3 linked regions of the Canis lupus familiaris genome follow. The protein of the gene in region 1 interacts with the protein of each later gene in a pairwise test. Links are inferred from orthologs where the notes say so. Each region holds a gene or a part of one and is shown on either strand. Other genes may lie near its edges.

Region 1 (3,652 bases):
TCCCAGGAGCCTGGGATCACGCCCTGAGCTAAAGGCAGATACTCAACCACTGAGCCATCCAGGCGTCCCTTAATTTTTATTTAAAAAAAAATTTCCCAGGGATGCCTGGGTGGCTCAGTGGTTGAGCACCTGCCTTCACCCCAGGGTATGATCCTGGAGTCCTGGGATTGAGTCCCACATCAGGTTCCCTGAATGGAGCCTACTTCTCTCTCTGCTTGTGTCTCTCCCTCTCTCTCCCTATGTCTGTTTTGAATAAATAAATAAAATCTTCAAAAAATAAATAAATAAAAATTAAAACTTTTTTTAAATTTCCCCATGAGGTGCCTGGGTAATGAAGTCAGTTAAGCATCCTGGTCTGGATTTCAGCTCAGGTCATAATCTCAGGGTCATGGGATTGAGCCCCAAGTCAGGTTCCATGCTTAGTGGGGAGTCTGCTGGAGATTTTCTCTCCTGTACCTCTCCCCTCCTCACAATTGTCCCCCCCTCAAACAAATAAATCTTTATATATTTTTTCCCTACTTTATGATGAATTGAGGGCCTTTTGCATTGCTGTAGAGAGAAAGATATTATTTTTTAGGTTTTGTTTTTTTTTTTAAGATTTATTTATTTATTCATGAGAAACACACAGAGAGAGGCAGAGACATAGGCAGAGGGAAAAACAGGCTCCCTACAGAGAGCCTGATACAGGACTTGATCCCGGATCCCAAGATCACGCCCTAAGCTAAAGGCAGATGCTCAACCGCTGAGCTACCCAGGCGTTCCTCTTTCTGTTCTTCTATCAAGCATTATTTAAGTTTCAGCCTTGTTACTCTACCTCTATAAAGACCCAATCATCCCTTCTGTGTTTGTATTTCCAAAAACTAGGTGTTGTATAAAATGCATCTATAAGCTTACATTAATTTTTAAGATTGTGTTGCAACTCATTTACTAACTTCAGAATATCTGCTAACTAGTAATACCTATATTTATGTAATACTTTAGCTTTCTAAAAGTGCTTTTGGTTTTTTTTTTATTTTTATTTTTTTTATTTTTTTTATTTATGATAGTTACAGAGAGAGAGAGAGAGAGAGAGGCAGAGACACAGGCAGAGGGAGAAGCAGGCTCCATGCACCGGGAGCCCGATGTGGGATTCGATCCCTGGTCTCCAGGATCGCGCCCTGGGCCAAAGGCAGGCGCCAAACCGCTGCGCCACCCAGGGATCCCTGCTTTTGGTTTTAGATACATATATTTAATTTGTCATCAAAGTAACTCTTTTTTTTTATTGGAGTTCAATTTGCCAACATATAGCATAACACCCAGTGCTCATCCCATCAAGTGCCCCCCTTGGTCCCCGTCACCCAGTCACCCCCGCCCACCTCCCTTTCCACCACCCCTTGTTCGTTTCCCAGAGTTAGGAGTCTCTCATGGTCTGTCTCCCTTTCTGTTATTTCCCACTCATTTTTTCTCCTTTCCCCTTTATTCCCTTTCACTATTTTTTTATATTCCCCAAATGAATGAGACCATATAATGTTTGTCCTTCTCTGATTGACTTATTTCACTCAGCATAATACCCTCCAGTTCCATCCACGTCGAAGCAAATGGTGGGTATTCATCGTTTCTAATGGCTGAGTAATATTCCATTGTATACATAAACCACATCATCTTTCTCCATTCATCTTTCGATGGACACCGAGGCTCCTTCCACAGTTTGGCTATTGTGGACCTTGCTGCTATAAACATCCGGGTGCAGGTGTCCCAGCAATTCACTGCATCTGTATCTTTGGGGTAAATCCCCAGCAGTGCAATTGCTGAGTTGTAGGGCAGATCTATTTTTAACTCTTTGAGGAACCTCCACACAGTTTTCCAAAGTGGCTGCTCAAAGTAACTCATTAAAGTAGGTTTTATTACTCCTATTTTTTAGTCAACAGAAACACAAGTCCACAGAGGTTAAATGCCTTTTTTAATACCATATAGCTGTTAATGACTAGAGCCAGAGCTCTTGCCCATTCCACATCTTCAAACTTTAACCCAATACTCTTTCTACTATCAGCTGTCTACTCTGCTAAAAGGAGGCTCAGTCTTAAGTTATGTTCAATTCTATAGTATAAGAATTTTGTGTTTTGAAGTTACTTATGATGAGATTTCATATCAACAAAAGAATTTGAGTCTCCAGTGGAATTTATTAAAATATGATTTTTTTATATGGTGAAGTTTAAATATCTTAGGAAAAATATTTATGGATAGGAATATCAAGGTATTAAGATATATTTACTGTATCATTTCTCTCTGCCTTTTGTCAGCCAAAGGAAGAAAAGCTGACAACTCTACCCTATCTCAAATGTTGGTTAATCATGAGTCTGATACATGGCTAAGACCCTTACTCTTAATAATTCTGTTTTAGTGTAAGCTTTCTCATATGCTTGTCTTAGAATGTTTATCCTATTTCTTTAGTAGGAAGAACGTTTTACCACTCCTTATTTTTTTTTAGATTTTCAGATTCTAAGTCCAGGACTCCTCCTCAAGAAGAATTGACTGCTCGGGTATCATCTCCTGTATTTGGAGCTACTTCTAATGTGAAACGTAGTTTAGGCTTGAATACGAGTTTATCCCCTTCTCTCTTAGAGACTGGGAAAAAAAACCTCCTGAAAACAGCACCCTTCAACAACACTTCTACTTCTAGATCAGAGAAAACCAGATCAAAATCTGAAGATAGTGCCCTTTTCACACATCATAATCTTGGGTCTGAAGTGAACAAGATTATTAGCCAGTCATCTTCAATTAAGCAGATGCTTATCAGTAAAAACATAAGTGAATCCAAAAATGAACAGGATAGTTTTGATCACATTAAAGATACTGTCAATGATAAAGAAAAACATGCAGTGCCCCTGAAATCATTGGGAAGCAGGACATCCAAAAGGAGGAAAGTTGAAGAAGAAAGTGAAGACGAACTAAGCTGCCCCCAAGGCTCTTTTGATAAAGAAAATGCTTTTCCTTTTTTACTGGATAGTCATTCTTCCATGAACGGAGGAGACTATGTAATGGATAAACCTCTAGACCTGTCTGATCGATTTTCAGCTATTCAGCGTCAAGAGAAAAGCCAAGGAAGTGAGACCTCTAAAATCAGATTCAGGCAAGTGACTCTCTATGAGGCCTTGAAGCCCATTCCAAAGGGCTCTTCCTCAAGCCGTAAGGGCTTGAGTGGGAGCATTGTGTTTACCAGAGATTCCCCAGAGGAGCCCTGTTTACAGGAGTGCGTCCTCCAGTCCTTGGAGAAATCATATCCAGATAATAAAACACCATTACAAATCAAGGAAGAAAATCCCATCTTTAAAATCCCTCTACGTCCACGTGAAAGTTTGGAGACAGAGAATCTTTCCGATGATGTGAAGGTTTGTGTTAAATGTTCAAGTACTTTTATTAAAATTATTGCTCATGATTTCATCTAGATGCTAATAATTCTTTCTGTTTTAGGGAGCTGATTCTCACGAGCCAACAAAAATAGCCAGGTCGGTCCGTGGAGCATGTGAACTTACATCCGTTCTTCAGTTAAATCCATGTAGAGTTACTAAAACAAAGTCTGTACAAAACAGTCAAGGTATGTTTAATGGAAGTAGTATTTCCAAAAAAGAAAATAATATTTCCCCTCTTTTTTTAATGGCTTTGAGTGTTATAC
Region 2 (4,212 bases), on another chromosome or scaffold:
TGGAAGGGTCTGCACTTCCCCTTTCTCCTAATCAAAATCTGCAGGTGTCCCTGGATGAAGTATGGTAAACCAACACCTGCCCTAATATCGTTTCGAGGAAAAAATTTTTAAAAAGTATATAACTCTGAAAGCCAGAAGATGCTACCCAAATATAAAGGCATCATTATTAATTTTGAATCCTCTCAAAAGATTCACCAGATCCTTATAATTTTCACAGAACTCTCAAAAAGCAGGAAGAGAAGGACATTCTGGAATATCCTGCTCCATTATCTAGATCAAGTAGTTCTCAAAGTATAGGGGTCACTGTGACCCATTTAGGGGTTCAAAAGGTCCTTTTTCCACCTGCATCTGTGGGAGGCCTATTTTCTTTGTATATATATCTAAGGCAACATATAACACTAAGATAAATGCAGAAACAGAACTGAGAAACTGTCTTAGACTGTCATTAATGAAGATTTGAAAATATGTAATTCAATGCCACTTTTCCCACCAAACTTTTTTCATTTTGGAAAGAGTTATTTTTCATAAAAATTAACACTTATGAATAAATGCATAATGAGTTTATGTATCTCAAATGAATACATATTTAATTTTGTTCTTAGTTTGTATTTTCAGTAAATATTGATAAGCAAAAGCTCTCTGCAGACCTCAATACCTTTTTATTATTATTTATTTATTTATTTATTCATTCATTCATTCATTCATTCATTCATGAGAGACACAGAGAGGCAGAGACACAGGCAGAGGAAGAACCAGGCTCCACGTAGGGAACCCGATGCGGAACTCGATTCCAGGTCTCCAGGATCACGCCTTGGGCCAAAGGCGGCACTAAACCGCTGAGCCACCTGGGCTGCCCTTAAGAGTGGAAAGCAGTCCTAATATCAAAGCATTTGTCACCTGTTTCCTACTCATTGTACTAAACACTGTTTATATTCTAATTCAAATACTGAAATAGTGAGAAAATAGGTAGACAGTTTCTCATACACAGGAAAAATAAACTAGCTTTGGAGATAATATGTATTTTTGAAGAAGTATTCCTTTTAATAACAAGCAGGATAAGAAAAGAAACTACATTAGAGGAAACTTTCAGGAAAGAACCCCTAATAATCTCACTAACCTACTGAACTGTTTACATTAACTTTCCTTTCTTGTCTTTGACCCTCTGGCACTATATATTTCTTTCAATTGACTGTTTTTTTGAGCAGTTTTAAGTTTACAGTGAAACTGAGGCAAAAGGAGTCGAGTTCCCCTTCATCCCCACGTGCAAGCCTCCCCTGCTACCAACATCTCTACCATAAACGTAGTCTGTTATGACTGATGATGAATCTACAGTGACCTATGCATTTGTTTATAACTGTTTTTATATATAAAAGTTACATTTTAGAAGTCATGAATGATAGTTACAACTGTCATCTGGCTAGTTATAATTAGTCGGCTAATTTTTCAAAAAAGGATTTTTGCTAAGAAGTATTGATGATAAAGAATATATATGTTGGGAAATATATATGTAGAAGCCTTTAGTACAGAACCTTCACATTTGGCCAGTAATAACTGATTTACCCAATCCACTTCTACAGATGAACCATACACAGAAAACTTGGTATCACTGGGCTTTTTTTCAAGTGTCTCACTGTTAAAAGTATGTAAAACAAATTTGCTGGCATCAAAACGAAAAAAATGTGTAAATCCAAAAAGCATCTTAAGAGTCCACAGAGCATTTTGGTTACAGTATAATTATAATTGCCCAATTACATTTATTTTTTTTTTTTTTCCCCATTACATTTAAACAGAACTCTTTATAAGTCGTGAAAACAGAGGACATCTGTTATAATACCACACATAATAGATTAATGGAAATAGAGAATCAGGTCAGTTAAATTCCCCTTAACTCATGATTGACAAATTGAGGATTTGCAGTTAATTCTAAGCTTATGACTTTGCGGAAGATCAACAATCTTCCATGAGTCTAACTACTACTTTGCACTACTTTTTAAAATTGTTTGCTAAAACTCATTTAATAACATGAATTAGACTTTTTAGAGTTAATGGCATATATATGGCATATATATATACACACACACACACACACACACACACACCTATATTTGCTAAATACACAACATTCTTATTTATTGATTCAATCCCCTTAAGACAATATTAAGAAATCCAGTTTGCCTACCTCAAATTGCTGTTAAACCTAACAAAAATGTGTATCTTTATCAACAGTCTGTAATTCAGTTTTACTGTTTCCCTCAACCAACTTGTCATCTGTGGGAAGTTTAAGAGTATACAATCTTTCTATTATAAACCCTGCCAGCAGCAACTCTAAGCCTCCCCCTTGGACTACATAATGAAAATGTACTATTATGAGGAACCTACTGAACACAAAGACATTACTACTATTACTTTAAAGGCAGCATTTTCCTTTACTTCTGCATCTCATCTGGTGTATCTCCCCGCCTGCTGGAATAGGCCTCCCTCCCCTCCATCACTCTGGAATGCCCCTGCTCAGAGTCGAGGAAATAAAACTATCAATGGCTACTGAACTCAAAGCCCAAGCAGACTAGATCTGGAAGATAGGAGCTCCTCTTCCAGGAGAGGAGACACTTACAATTTTGCATAAAAGTCACAAAACTCCTTGTAGACCTTTACGTCACTGTGCCTGCGCTGTAATTTGGACACAGCCCGCTCGTCTTCATTGCCATTAGCCTGGTGGACACTGTTAAGGACTGCCTGGGGGATTTCTTCATTCTCTGGGATAACACAAGGGTGCACCCTGCCCGGGAACGCCATCCCAGGGTGCCTGAGAGCTCCAAGCCCGGGGCAGAGAGTAGCAGGGCAGGGGACGGAGAAACAATATCCAGGCCTCCCCTGCTTCCCTGCCAGGGTCACTCCCACTGTTCCCACACACGTCAGCCCTGCGTTTGCCAGGGTCGCTCCTGGCCCTTCATATTAAGAGCTCTAACAGCAAAGCAGTCACTTGCTGTGCCAGTCCTGAGTTTTGAGGCATTTCTGGAAGCTCTAGAAAACATTCCCCAGAGCAGTGACACAGTCTTTGCTGGAGCAGCCTTCCCGGCAGACTGTGTCTGTAAACACTGCTTCAGAAATAGAGGACTGGTTGGCAGGGTCCAAGAGAAACAAACATCCACATGCCCTGGGGGATCTGTCACCAGGCATTATCCACATGAACACTGTGGTTCTTGTAAAACACCCTCAGATATTGTTTCTAACAAGCTCCCCACTGAGGCTAACGCAGCTGGCACACACTGGGGGACATCTTAATGCCCAGGACATGCTTGTCAGCTATGCCCATGGCTATCTTTCACCAAGGATCTGTGAGTCCCTAAGAATTTGGAGCTACTTTTGACTCTTATTGATCCTAGCAGTTGGCACATAGCAAGAGCTGGATGATGTGTTCAATGAATGGACACGAGGAAATAGGAAAGAGTTGGGCATCTAGTTAGAAACCCTCAGCTAATCCTGGTCTTTATTATGGTTAAAGATGCTGCTGGCATTCCTGCTATAGTCAGTCCACATTGCTGTCATCTTGCAGCAGTACTGCAGAAGAGGAGGGTGATGATGTAGGCCATGGGCAATACAAGGGCTCAAAACATTTCTCCAGGAACAGTCCTCTGAGCACCAAGGTGCCCTCCTAACCAAAATTAAGGTACCAAGGACCACTAAAGAAAGAAACACTAGAGATGAGAGCCATGAAATCAACAGCAAACAAACAGACAAAATGCAGCTGGGACTTCCAAGTAACAACTAATAAATAATAATGCTATGCATTATGCTCATTATTGCATCCCTTATAAGGTAGGTATTATTTACAGGTGAGGAACTGAGATTCAAGGAGGCTGAATAACCCAGTAAGTACGTGGTAGAGTCAAGATTTAAATCTAGGGAGCTTCATCCTAGAGCCTATGTTGTCAACTACCATGTGAGAAAATGGTTAAACACAATCACTGGAGAACAAAATAAGTTAACTAGAAAAGATTAAGTAGTAGGTACAAATGAGATAGAAGCCCAAAATGAGATCTAGTCTTCCCTCTTTGAACCCTAAAGATCTCAGAGTACAAGTCAGAAATTAAAAGGCTGTGGGCTACGGATCCTCCCCAAGCCCCAAGCCTGTGGCTAATGCAGTAGGAAAAATCATCATTTTTAAATAGGAAAGAAGTGACCTCCTGGTTGAAATGGTGAATGAGATCTTGA
Region 3 (3,652 bases), on another chromosome or scaffold:
GAGTCAGATTCTATACTCAGGTGACTAAGTGCTGAAAATATTTAAGGTCTCACTTTTGCATTTTTGGGTACTTCAGTGAAAAGGGCAAGTTTATTGAAACAGTAATTCCATGCATTTTGCAATGTGAAGGAAGCCAAATTCTTCATGGCTAACATGCAATGAAAGCAAGAAATTATTATTAAAAGAGAGCTGCTGGAAAGAGATTATTTTTTTTTAAAGATTTTATTTATTTATTCATGAGAGATACACAGAGACAGAGAGAGAGAGAGAGATTGGCAGAGACACAGGAGGAGGGAGAAGCAGGCTCCATGCAGGGAGCCCGACGTGGGACTCGATCCTGGGTCTCCAGGATCAGGCCCTGGGCTGAAGGCGGCACTAAACCGCTGAGCCACCCAGGCTGCCCAGAAAAAGAGATTATTTTTGAAATCGCATTTGTTTTTTTAAGACTAGCAAAATCGGGGCATCTGGGTGGCTCAATCAGTTATGAGACCAAATCTTGATTTTGGCTCAGGTCATGGCTTCACCAGTTGTGAGGCTGGGCCCCAGAGTGGCCTCTTCACCTGCCTCCTTGCCTCCTTACTGGGCAAAGAGCCTGCTTGAGATTCTCTCTGCCCCTCCCCCCACCTCACATACATATACTTTCTCTCTCTCTCTAAAAACAAACAAACAACTAGCAAAATAAGCGGAGGAGCACAAACTGAGAGATCAAAACTGTAGCACAGATAAAATATATGTATACGTATTCCTGACGAACAAATACAAAAACATACCGCTGTTTTCTTCCTCTCTGTTGACGGGGCTGCTCCTCTTGAGGATATTTAAAAATGTCCTGAAAAATGGGTTCATATTTCTTAAAAATTACCGCTGAAACAGTGAAGTTTCTTTCTAATCTCTCGGTACGTTCTCTGAAATGTGGGGGGAGATTTGCCATGTCTTCCCACTTCTTCATCTTGTTAAAAAATTCAATTAAGCTGATATTAAAAATAAAGAGAGATATTTTCAACATTAACAAGATAGAGTACACAAATGTAATTACATCAAAATTTAACTCATTAAGTTATATTACTTTGAGACAGTGATAAATATCACAACTCATGTCTCTGATTAGCTTCATCTCTTACAGACTGGTTTATTTCTCCGATTTTCCTAATCTGTTTTTTTCTGAGGTTATCGAAGGGTTTTATTTTTTAAATTATGAAATATATAAAAGTACAAAATAATTAATCAGAGTAATGTAACCGACACTTATGTACCCAACTGCCAGATTTAACAAACATTCACATACTAAATAAATTTTGCCGTGTTGGCTTTAGGTTCTACAGAAACTGCCAAATTCCCACTTTGTCCTCCTTCCCAAACTCTCCTCTGACTGCTCTGCCTCCTCAAAGATCACCACCATTCTAAAGTTAGTCCGAATCCTTCCCATCCATGTTTTTATACTTACTATCTAATGTAGTTACAATACAGGTCTACATGTATCCATAAACACTATGTAGTATCTTTTGTATGTGTAGTTTTAAGATTTTACATAAATAGTATCATACTATATAAGTGGCATTCTGCAACTTGCTTTTTCATTCAGTATTTCTGAAATTAACATTGATACATGCAGATCTCCTTCATTTTAACTATTAAAAATATTCTTTAATAAATAATAGTGAAAGGGAATATAAGGGAAGGGAGAAGAAATGTGTGGGAAATATCAGAAAGGGAGACAGAACGTAAAGACTGCTAACTCTGGGAAACGAACTACGGGTGGTAGAAGGGGAGGAGGGCGGGGGGTGGGAGTGAATGGGTGACGGGCACTGGGGATTATTCTGTATGTTAGTAAATTGAACACCAATAAAAAATAAATTAAAAAAAATATTCTTTAGTATGAACTACCATGATTTTTTGCATTGGTTTCCCAACCAATGGAAATTGAGGCTTCTAATTTTACATTCTGACCAAAAAAATGCTGTAATCAATACATCCTTGTAGATGTATGTAAGAGCTTCTTTAGGAACCACACCAATAAGTAGAAGTGCTAAGTCAGAGACTGTGCATCTTCAGCTCGACCAGATATGGCTGAATTTCCCATTTAAGTGGCCATGGCAATTTATACTCTCACCAAGTACATCAGCAACATAGAGCTCCCATTTCTCTGAATAATGACCAAATAATGACCAAAGGTTTTATCAGACTCCAAATTTCCCCAATTTGAAGAGAATGACAGTTACTTTGTTTTTTACTTTGAACTTCCTTGATTTCTAGTGAAATTGAGCGTCTTTACATATATACTCACATATAGGTATGTGAGTTTTGACCTTTGTGAAATCATTCTTTACCCACTTTTAGTAGTTGTTTGTCAATCATGCAACCATTTGTTACTAGTTCTTTATATAATCCTGGATACTGACCTTTTCAGTTATACATACTGTAAATATCTTCTCCCAATATACTCTTTGTTTTTAATCCATTTTAGTCCATTATGGCAGTAAATAATCTGAACCCAGAGGTAAAAATTTAAAGATAGAAACTGAGTTTTTAAAATGGAAATACAACTGAAGCCTAGGACTGTATTACTTGCATTAAAATATTGGGTAAGTTCAATTTACTATTGTTTATGATGAAGATTCTATAATTTGACCTTTGCTTCTAAAGTTCCTTATCTGTCACTTAACTGGATTACTCTGCCTCCACTTTTCGTCTCCATAATGATTTTATTTTTGCACCTTATTTAAGTCCACTTATGCAGGTTTACAGCCCAGGTATTCAACTCTTTATGCACTGCCTCTTGTCCTTAGGCCTAAATATAACTCAGGATGGAGCTCAAGGTTAAGAAATAGACTACAGCTAAAATATTACATTTCTTGTTAATTAGTCTAATATTGATCAGACTAATTAAGTGATTAATTAGTGATTTTTTAAACTATTAGGTACATAAATTTTGACAGTGGTATTCTCCCAACAAAGTGCCAAATATCCTTTTTCCATCAATCCTTAGTGAATCATAAAAGAAAATTCACCCAAAAGGCATAAATAATAATCAATTCAATTATACAACAGATAGAAAAACGATTTCTTTCTGCCTCTTCTTTAAAACATCATTTGACTCTTCCAATAATCATAATACTGTTGCTTATCCCTCAACGAAAAGGAGAGGTATTTACACATTCCATATAGTAAAATACAAATTCTGTCCATGCAGTTCTAAGTTTAATACTGTATTTTATTAACCTTTGCAATTTAGAGTACTTCCTAAAGTTTCTCAATATCCTTATTTAGAATTCTCCCAACACTGTGCAATGGTAAATCATAATGTTTAACAGCAAACTCTTTATAAAATTGCCTAACACATTAAAATTTCAATAGTTTTCGCCAAAGAAGTATAATATAATAGATACTAACTTAGATGTGGTAAAGGGAAACCATGACCTAGTTTCTAAATTCAGCACTCTATAGATACAAACACCCAGGAGATAATGAACAAAGAGAATTCTTACTAACACTATGATTTTGGGGCTTTCATATTTGTCATTCTCTAGTTTTCAAACTCTGATATAGTTACCTCTGCTCTGAACATCTCAGGATTCTAGTTAAAGATACATAGTTTCCTTCAACTGTCCCTTTGCTTACAGTTGGCACAGATTTTCTGCAAGCCACATATAAG

What was found.
Region 2: the proteins of RBBP8 (region 1) and LIMS1 interact in a two-hybrid assay, tested with the Homo sapiens proteins (2 studies listed by BioGRID and IntAct). The two-hybrid records come from large-scale screens. The link is inferred for Canis lupus familiaris from reciprocal best matches to the Homo sapiens genes RBBP8 and LIMS1.
Region 3: the proteins of RBBP8 (region 1) and RBL2 interact in binary tests that used the Homo sapiens proteins (3 or more experiments, as listed by UniProt). The link is inferred for Canis lupus familiaris from reciprocal best matches to the Homo sapiens genes RBBP8 and RBL2.

What each region holds. Positions count from the first base shown.
Region 1 is NC_049228.1:65,295,097-65,298,748, reverse strand, and holds part of RBBP8 (DNA endonuclease RBBP8), read left to right. Parts: intron 1-2,467; coding exon 2,468-3,368; intron 3,369-3,450; coding exon 3,451-3,574; intron 3,575-3,652. UniProt on the Homo sapiens protein: Endonuclease that cooperates with the MRE11-RAD50-NBN (MRN) complex in DNA-end resection, the first step of double-strand break (DSB) repair through the homologous recombination (HR) pathway.
Region 2 is NC_049231.1:36,276,647-36,280,858, forward strand, and holds the start of LIMS1 (LIM and senescent cell antigen-like-containing domain protein 1), read right to left. Parts: upstream 2,863-4,212; 5' UTR 2,794-2,862; coding exon 2,612-2,793; intron 1-2,611. UniProt on the Homo sapiens protein: Within the IPP (ILK-PINCH-PARVIN) complex, binds to F-actin, promoting F-actin bundling, a process required to generate force for actin cytoskeleton reorganization and subsequent dynamic cell adhesion events such as cell spreading and migration.
Region 3 is NC_049223.1:61,577,100-61,580,751, forward strand, and holds part of RBL2 (retinoblastoma-like protein 2), read right to left. Parts: coding exon 3,551-3,652; intron 2,478-3,550; exon of another isoform or gene 2,400-2,477; intron 972-2,399; coding exon 771-971; intron 1-770. UniProt on the Homo sapiens protein: Key regulator of entry into cell division. Directly involved in heterochromatin formation by maintaining overall chromatin structure and, in particular, that of constitutive heterochromatin by stabilizing histone methylation.